2 linked regions of the Rattus norvegicus genome follow. The protein of the gene in region 2 binds, or shares a complex with, the protein of the main gene of each other region. Links are inferred from orthologs where the notes say so. Each region holds a gene or a part of one and is shown on either strand. Other genes may lie near its edges.

The links.
Region 1: the proteins of Jarid2 (region 2) and Aebp2 are in contact, whole or in part, in a cryo-EM structure (PDB 8VNZ), measured with the Homo sapiens proteins. The link is inferred for Rattus norvegicus from reciprocal best matches to the Homo sapiens genes JARID2 and AEBP2. Residues at the interface, in NP_004964.2 of Homo sapiens: Ser148, Lys151, Pro152, Lys153, Thr154, Glu155, Asp156, Leu158, Thr159; in NP_001107648.1 of Homo sapiens: Arg407, Ala410, Ile411, Asn414, Leu415, Glu420, Ser421.

What each region holds. Positions count from the first base shown.
Region 1 is NC_086022.1:175,258,025-175,262,576, forward strand, and holds the start of Aebp2 (zinc finger protein AEBP2), read left to right. Parts: upstream 1-1,519; 5' UTR 1,520-1,701; coding exon 1,702-2,348; intron 2,349-4,552. UniProt on the Homo sapiens protein: Acts as an accessory subunit for the core Polycomb repressive complex 2 (PRC2), which mediates histone H3K27 (H3K27me3) trimethylation on chromatin leading to transcriptional repression of the affected target gene.
Region 2 is NC_086035.1:19,983,680-19,987,484, forward strand, and holds part of Jarid2 (jumonji and AT-rich interaction domain containing 2), read right to left. Parts: intron 1,356-3,805; coding exon 1,203-1,355; 3' UTR 1-1,202.

The sequences.
Region 1 (4,552 bases), on a different chromosome or scaffold from region 2:
CCTTGAGGCAACATTTTTTTGACAATGTTTCCTTCCACTGGGGGGGTTGGGGGGGGACACCAGTGGCTTAACACAGTACATGTGATAATATGTATCCAAAGGGTAAGGCTGCAGCTACACTACTCTGGTATTTGTAGTGACGTAGGCGTTTACCTTGTGGCCCACGCTAGTTTGCCTCAAAGTTGCAAGGATCCTTCTAGCCTCATACTTGAGTGCTGTGATTATTTTGGTAGGCTACATGTTGTTTCTTTATTATTTTTATTTTATTAGGGCAGAGAATTCTAGAAACTTGAAAGCACTCTACCTGGGGGTCTCTCTCTCTCTGTGTGTGTGTGTGTGCGCGCGCGTGTGTGTGTGTGTGTGTGAGAGAGAGAGAGAGAGAGAGAGAGAGAGAGAGAGAGAGAGAGTATGCGAGAATATGCCTTGTGCTTGGGAGTCAGAGTGTAATGTGGGCTCCTTACTAGTTAGGAGGAACATAAACTCCAGGTCTTTATTTTACAAAAGCTTATTAACAAGGCATTCCCTTACTGAAAGTTTTGGAAGATGCAATGCTTCCCTTAATGTAAACCCCACAAAGGAAAGGACTCTTGCCTGAGGATAGGGAGGAGCTTTCACTAGTTTGAGTATTGATCTCTCCTTCCAGGCTTTCTTTTCTTCCCACCCTCCCGAGTTTCGCTTTTTGAGACAGGGTTTCACTGCGTTATCACTGGCCTGCCTAGAACTCTCTCTATAGCTCAGGCTAGCCTAGAGATCTCGGAGACTCTCCTGCCTCGGCCACCCGAGGGCTGGGCGTAAAGGCACGCCTATTTTAGGTCAGGTACATGTGTGCACCGCCCACGTGACCGGGAGGGAGGCCAGGGTCAGAGCTTCTGGAGTTAGACAGTTGTGAGCCGCCATGTGGGTGCTGGGAACCGAGCGCCGGGTCCTCTGGAAGAGCGGTTAGATCGCTCAACGGCAGAGCCAGCACTACACCCCCGAGAACTCAGCCTACCTACAGCTTCATCCCAGATTTTATTAGAAGCTCCAGGACTAAAAACTGCGAGGATCTTGAGCTAAAGCGCTGCCCTCTTCGTCTGAGCTTCCCTCCTTGGGTCGTTGGAACGTCGGGACAGGTAAGCAGGTCCGGCTGAGAGTGAGGACTATGCCTCCGCGGTGTGGACGGCAGCTCTATGCCTCAAAAAAAAAAAAATCTATTTAACTTTCTGCACATTTTTGTGTCCTGTCTTTGCGTACGGTAAGCACTCAGAAGGTGAGACTCTTGCTCCACTTATGGCTTCCTTCTACAGGACACCTTCCCACACACACTCTGAGCGGATGCTTTCCTCTAGAGAAGTACAGGGCTGTGAAAATCCCCAGTGACTTCAGGTTTCGAGGGCTCGTCCCGCCTCCGCTGGGCGCGGGAAGGCGTGGGAAGGCCCCGAGAAACTCTCCGAGGGGCCAGGCTGGCCGGGGGAGTGGCTGCCGTGGGCCGCCGCGCAGGCGCGCTGCCTCGTCCGCGTGAGTGCGCGCGTTCCGGCGCGTGTCCCCGCGCGGGCTCCGTAGCGCGTGTGCAGCCTGACGCAGCCCCGCGGGCCCTCCTCCCGCTCTGCGGCGGCTGCGAGGAGTTTGGGGCGTGCGGGCGCGGGGAGGCGGGGGCGAGGCGGCGCGCCGCGAGAGGAGGCGGCGGCGGCGAGAGGAGGCGGAGGAGCAGCAGGCGCCGCCATGGCCGCCGCGCTCACCGACATGGCCGACTTGGAGGAGCTCTCCCGCCTCAGCCCGCTGTCCCCCGGCAGCCCCGGGCCCGCGGCGCGCGGCCGGGCCGAGCCGCCGGAGGAAGAGGAGGAGGAGGAGGACGATGAGGCGGAGGCAGAGGCGGTGGCCGCGCTGCTGTTGAACGGCGGAGCGGGCGGCGGCGCGGGGGGCGGCGAGGCGGAGACCATGTCGGAGCCTAGCCCCGAGAGCGCCAGCCAGGCGGGCGGGGACGAGGACGAGGACGACGAGGACGACGAGGACGAGGGCAGTAGCAGCGGCGGCGCTGAGGAGGAGAGCAGCGCCGAGAGCCTGGTGGGCAGCAGCAGCGGCGGCTGCAGCGGCGACGAGACGCGCTCGCTGAGCCCGGGCGCGGCGAGCAGCAGCAGCGGCGATGGGGACGGGAAGGAGGGCCTGGAGGAGCCCAAGGGACCGCGGGGCGGCCCGGGCGGCCCGGGCAACGGCGGCGGTAGTAGCAGCAGTAGCGTGGTGTCGAGCGGCGGCGACGAGGGTTACGGCACCGGGGGAGGCGGGAGCAGCGCGACCTCCGGGGGCCGGCGGGGCAGCCTGGAGATGTCGTCGGACGGGGAGCCGCTGAGCCGCATGGACTCGGAGGACAGGTCAGTGCGCCGCCAAGGGAACTCTTCCCGGACCCGGTCGAGGGGACTCAGGGGACTCCTTCCTGACTCCAGGGGACTCCCCTTGGGTCCTGTCTAGGGGACTCTTTGGACCCCTTTGAGTTGACTTCCTTGCCCGATCCCCTCCCACCTCCTGGACTGGTGGCCCAGCAGGGGGGACCTCCTGGCAGCGATCTCCTTGCTCCGGGTAGAGTCCGGGCCACCGCCAAGGGGACCAAGGGGACTTTCTCGCCGCGGTCCTTTCCGTTTCTTGCCTCCCCTTCCCAACCCCGCCCGCCCGCCCGCTCGCCTTGAGAAACGTCTTCGCCAGCATCACCCCTGCCCCCGACTCTGGGACCCCGGACCCCAGACCCGGGGGACTTTCTCTCGGTGATCTCCCGCTCCCTGGTTCTCGGCCCCTCCCCCCCAGATCTCAACTTGGAAATCCCGGGCGGCCGCCGCGCCCCTCTCTCGCCACTGAGCGGCTTCCAACTCCTCACCATCCCCCTCAACTCTCCTTTCCCCTACCCTCCTTACCTCCGCGCGCGGTTCTTTCGGATCGAAGGACGACTCTATCCCGGAGACAGCTCCCCCAAAGCGGCCCAGAAGCCCTTGGTGTACACCTCGGTAGCTTCGTGCATCGGTGTTCGGGAACACTTGTCAGAACTGTAATTGACAAGTGTTTTCCAATATGGCTGGTCTCCTGGATCTCACGGGAGTAACTTGTGCTGGGAGGACATCCCCAAGCCTGGCTTTGCTTTACTTTCAAAAAGGACTGTTGGTCTGTTGTGTGTAATCACAGCTTCTCGAACCCCTCACATGTATCAGTTATATCATCTCAGGGGATTTGAGTTTTGGTCATCAAATCTGAGCGACCAAGTTTTAAACATTGTGGAAAAGAACAGTGAGTTTGAATTGATGTCCTTTACAGTAACTTTGCAGAATCAGAAAGAATTGGAGTCATAAGATACAGCCATGAAGGTTAAACAATTAGGATGTGGCTTACTTATGAAAACGGCATTGTGCAGCGATACTTTGATGTGGGAGTCACATCCCCCTTGGTGATTTTTTTTTAAAGTCATGTATGGGGGAGGTGTCTGGAGGAATTGTGGCTTTTCTAGAGCTTGTTCTAGTTAGAACATTTAAGAAATGTAGTATGTTTTGGTTGCTGCTCTAATTTTTGATTGCTTTGTAAAATTTCATAATTGAAGTTGATTTTCAATGTACTTTGAAAAAGAATCAGGCTTAATATGTTCCTAAAGTACATTAGCGTTTACTTTTGACCATCTGCTAGTGTTTTGATGATTAGAATTTATAAGCCAGTAGTGATTTCTCTCCTCGGGTTGTATTTTTTTGGGGGTGGGGTGCATCTGCCTAATCAGTTGCCCTTATTGAGAATTCAACTTTACCTCCCTTAGTCTCTGGATAGAGTCCACACACACCACCATCCCTGGATTTTGATTTGATCTTAAGTTAAAGCATTCTGAGGTCTTTAGGAATTCTGGTTGCCAAAAAAGATGAATATGTTATTAGCTAGTGATAAATGAACAATCTGGAGGAAAAAAAAACCCTCAGGCATTCTTTTGACACTTTAAAACTGAGATAAGTAAATACATTTTCTTTTTCCTCCAACATCTGTACAACAAGGTTTCCCTTTGTAGCCCAGGCTAGTCTGGTATTCACAGAAATCCTCAGCCTCCCAAATGCAGGATCCACCATCTATCTGCCACAAGAAGTGTTCTTGAATGGGTGTAAAACAGACTGCTCCTTAGGAAAACTTAGAGAAATGTGCTAACCTGTAGGTGTGGTTGGGGAAGGTAATGTCTTTTTTTTTTCTTTTTCTTTTTCTTTTTTCTTTTTTTTTTTTTTTCCGAAGCTGGGGACTGAACCCAGGGCCTTGAGCTAACCACTGAGCTAAATCCCCAACCCGGGTAATGTCTTTAAGAAACCTGTGGGGCCGCCTATTTTGGGGGCTGCTGTGCTGAGTTGTAGGCGTGGCTGGGGAAGGTAGTGTCTTTGAGAGATCTGTGGGACAGCCTGTTTGGGGGCTGCTGTAATCTGTTACTTTACTCAGCCAAAGCCCTGTCTGCTCGTCAAACACTGAGTCTAACCACACAGTGGTGCCTGTGCTGCTATTCACTGCAGTGTAAGTTTCATTGACAACAGTCTACCAACTTTAGTGTGAATGTGTGCACACCCATGTTGGC
Region 2 (3,805 bases):
TGTTGTTGAGTGATGTAAGCAGCACTTATAAATGTTACAAGAAAAACCCTGTAAGCATCCAATCCAGCGATGAAGAAACTGAAATGTAAGGCTTTTTCTTCATCTTCTCACCCCTTCCCTCCCCCCACCGAGAAAAGGCTCAAGTATTTAAAACAATTTACAGGAGTATGTACAAAAGGGATGGGATTTTTTTTTTTGTTTTTTTTTTCTTTTTTGTTAAAACATGAAGAGAAAAAACAGACAGGATGAGCACAGATGTGTCTTCACATTCAAAACAACTGCAGACTTAGTGGCCAAGTGTGGGAAACAGAGATTAATGCTGATGTGTGAGGGACACGAGCAGAGATGGAGGTGGGATGTCAGGAGATTGCACGTGGATGACAGGGAAGCACTTACAGTCAACTGCTGTTTTCCTCTTTCCTCAAGGATGCTATCGAAGGGTTTTTTGTTTTTGATAAAGTAGCCAACAGCACCAAAAAAAAAAAAAATAACAGAATGGATTTCCTAATGAAATCAGGCACAGGTCTCCCTCAGTGACCCTCCAAGGCAGGCAGTCTTTGTCCTCTCTCTTCCTCGAGCGGATGCATAGTGATGTGCTGGTGTGAGAACCTCGTCACTCAAACCTCACATTTCGCTTCAGCTGCCATAGCCGCCCAGCCAAACAAACGGGGCTCAAAGTTACAAACTCCCCTCGCAATGTCAGAAGAAAAGACAGCCAAAAAAAGCCATTTCAAGTTTTCGTGTGTGTGTGTGTGTGTGTGTGTGTGTGTGTGTGTGTGAGAGTCCTCTATCCCTTTTCCAAACTAGAAAAAATCTCATCTGACTGATGGTTTTAAAACTTGTTCTCCAAACTTCACCCTCTTCAAAAATGGGTTAAAAAGCCTTTATTCTTTAACAGTTACCAAAACAAAACAAAAACAAACAAAAAAGGCTTTTCTCAGCCGTGGGGCGACACAAATCAATCCAGCCCTCAAGGGTTTAGACAGTGAGTGCACGCAGCTTCCAACCTGACTGCAGGACCTAGGTGTCTACGTACAAAACTTCAACAGTTTAATGCTAAAACAAAATCAGTTCTCTAAAACCAGAAGAAATTCTTCTTTAGAGCTAGTGCAAAGACAGCTTGTATCCTACAGCAAGTACTCCAAACTAGAATATAGTAATTACAAAAAATATAGAAGTGAGTGACCGTGGGTTCAGCATCTTCATGAGGACGGGAGCCGAGATGGCGGCACATCCACAGTCGCTCTCTTGCGGGGACCTCTTTTTGGTGTGGGTTTGTTGAGACAGTTCTCAATGCCACCGTGTTTGCCAGACACTTTGCCACATATCTGGTTGACCAAACTGATGATCTGCTCCTGGCAGGAGGACAGACAGACAGCATGGAGTTAGTGCAGCAGAGGACTCCCAGGCACCGAGTCCTATGACTTACCAGTGTGTTGTCAGGCTTCTAAATGGCTTTAGGATTCAGAGATGCAGAAAACTTGTGAACAGGACAGAAACTCCTGGGGCTGATGGGACTGCTGACAAGTGTTGCGTGTCACATGCCGCCTTCCTCTTTGGGCTCCCAGCACCCAGCATTGCCCACCACTGTGCTAACACCATCTCTGGGAGATCTGACACCTCTGCCCCTGGTTTACTTGCATTCACATGTATATTCCTTGCATTCACGTGTATATAACTCTCCACAAAGACCTCAAATGCCTGTCCTGCAAAGGAGAAACAGCCGCCTCTACACTGGGAAGCAGACCATCTCCTGAAACTGCTTCATATAGAAACTGAGGCTGCAGTTATCTCTGAGGGCCAACATGACAAGACAAATCTAGAAATTAAGAACAGCATCCAAATATGAGGCATTATTACAGCGTGACACTGTGAAAGTTCTCCAGTATGTGACATTATCAGGTGACCTCTGCGTTAGAGAGGGAAAGAGAGACAACTATATAGCCGTTTACTCATCCAAGAGAACCATGCATCCATATGTATCCATAGCTGAGCCTAAACTTGAAATCAGAGCTCTCCAGAGGTTGAAGCAGCAGAAGAAAACATTTGGGACGATGGAAGGGCATCTCAGAAACAAGAGAGCATAGGCAGGAAACCTGGATACCTGGCACCATGAGTGAGGTGTGGAGGTGCCTGCACCAAAGACTCTTGAGGTCAACGTAGTTGAGAACTGTCTCAACGTTCTGCCTCTGCAAAGCAGCTGCAGGACAGGAAAAGTGACCTCCTCAGAACTCACTCCTCCTTTGTGAAAGCCTTAGAGGCAGTACAAACACTGCCTGGCTGTCTTTTGGGCAGGCAGTCTAAGGTTCTAACAAGTGGCCTGGGATCCTGAAAGCCCTGCTCTTCCTTGGAGCTTCACAGTGCATAGGAGGCAAAAAGCAAGAGTATGAGGGTGTGGGAGGAACAGGTCTGCAATCTTTAGTGCAGCTGTCAGTGGGCTGCACAGGGCTTGAACTAAGAGTTGTATTGATCCTATAAATTACATTTCTCGATCCAACCAGTTGAACTCAAGTGAGGACTAGTGCTGACTCTTTTACTACAGTAAGCCTCCGGCAGAGGGTAGCATCTTATGCTTAGATGACTTTTCCTGACTAGCCATCAGACCACAAGAGTGTTCTTTCAGGACTCTGGTCACAGTGAAATGTTGACCTACAAGACCAGGTGGCTGCCCACCCACTGCTCAGTTTGTAGGATGCATTTTCGCAAGTGTTTCCATGCTATTTGTGCAGATCATGTGCACCGATGTACATTCCCTGGCCCGGCCCACTGCTGCCAACTCTGTGTCCTAGCTAGCTGGAAGACGCCCGTGGTACATACAGGAAGCCAGACAGTAATTCCCACTCATTGCTGAGAATTTTAAGCACATTGTGTCATTTACTGTTCATGTGACCAAGTAGGGACCACAGAACTAAGTTACTTTACTGCCACTGAACAAAACGGATGCAAATAGACCTCCTCCTTCTGCTTTCTAACCTCGGAAACCAGCCTCAGCAAGCATGGGACGAGTATGTAAAGGTCTTGAAGGCACCTTTGTCTAGGTGGTCAAGTTTCAGGGAGCACAGCCAAGGAGGGATGTGGGGGAAGCATGGAAGACTCTGTTGCCTGAGAATCTAAAAGGCAGAGCTTGGGACCACATGGATGATGTGCTGCTGCAGAGCTGGGAAACACAGCGATGGTGGGCACTGTCCAAAGATGAAACCTGAAGGGCACCAGGTAGCCAGGCGTGCAGCACTGGTCAGACAGAGCAGGGTTAGCACGGCCCAGCATAGGGACTCTGGCCTGCGAGAGCCCAGGGATGGCGTTTGAGATGTTCCTCCACCCCAAGAGGAGTTAGAAGGACTATGGAGTCCAAAAGCATCTATCTGCAGTGCAGGCTTAAGACAGCATAAATATCTCAGTACTTCAGACAGGGTGCGGGGAGCAAGGAAGTGTTTATGTTACATAACTCCAGATGCTAGAAGACCAACTGAGATGCTAAGTGCTGTTCAGAGATGCAAAAACAGGATCAACTATCACAGCCTGTAAGTCCTGGGCTCAACCGATCCCCCTTCCCTGCCCCACTGACACACAGTCCACAACCAACAAAGTCCTGCAGCAGGTCCTTCTGCATGCTTCCTGGCTATGCAGACAAGGGCCAAGGGGTGCTGAAATTCACATTCCTGCATCTCATGAGACTGCCAATCACAGTCCTCCATTTCCTTAGTGACTGGGACAAGGCAGATCCTGGGAACCAGTACTTTATCCACTAAGTCCTGTTGTATTAGATAGACAGCACCGCCAGTGGCTATCTGGCAGCCAGGAGAAG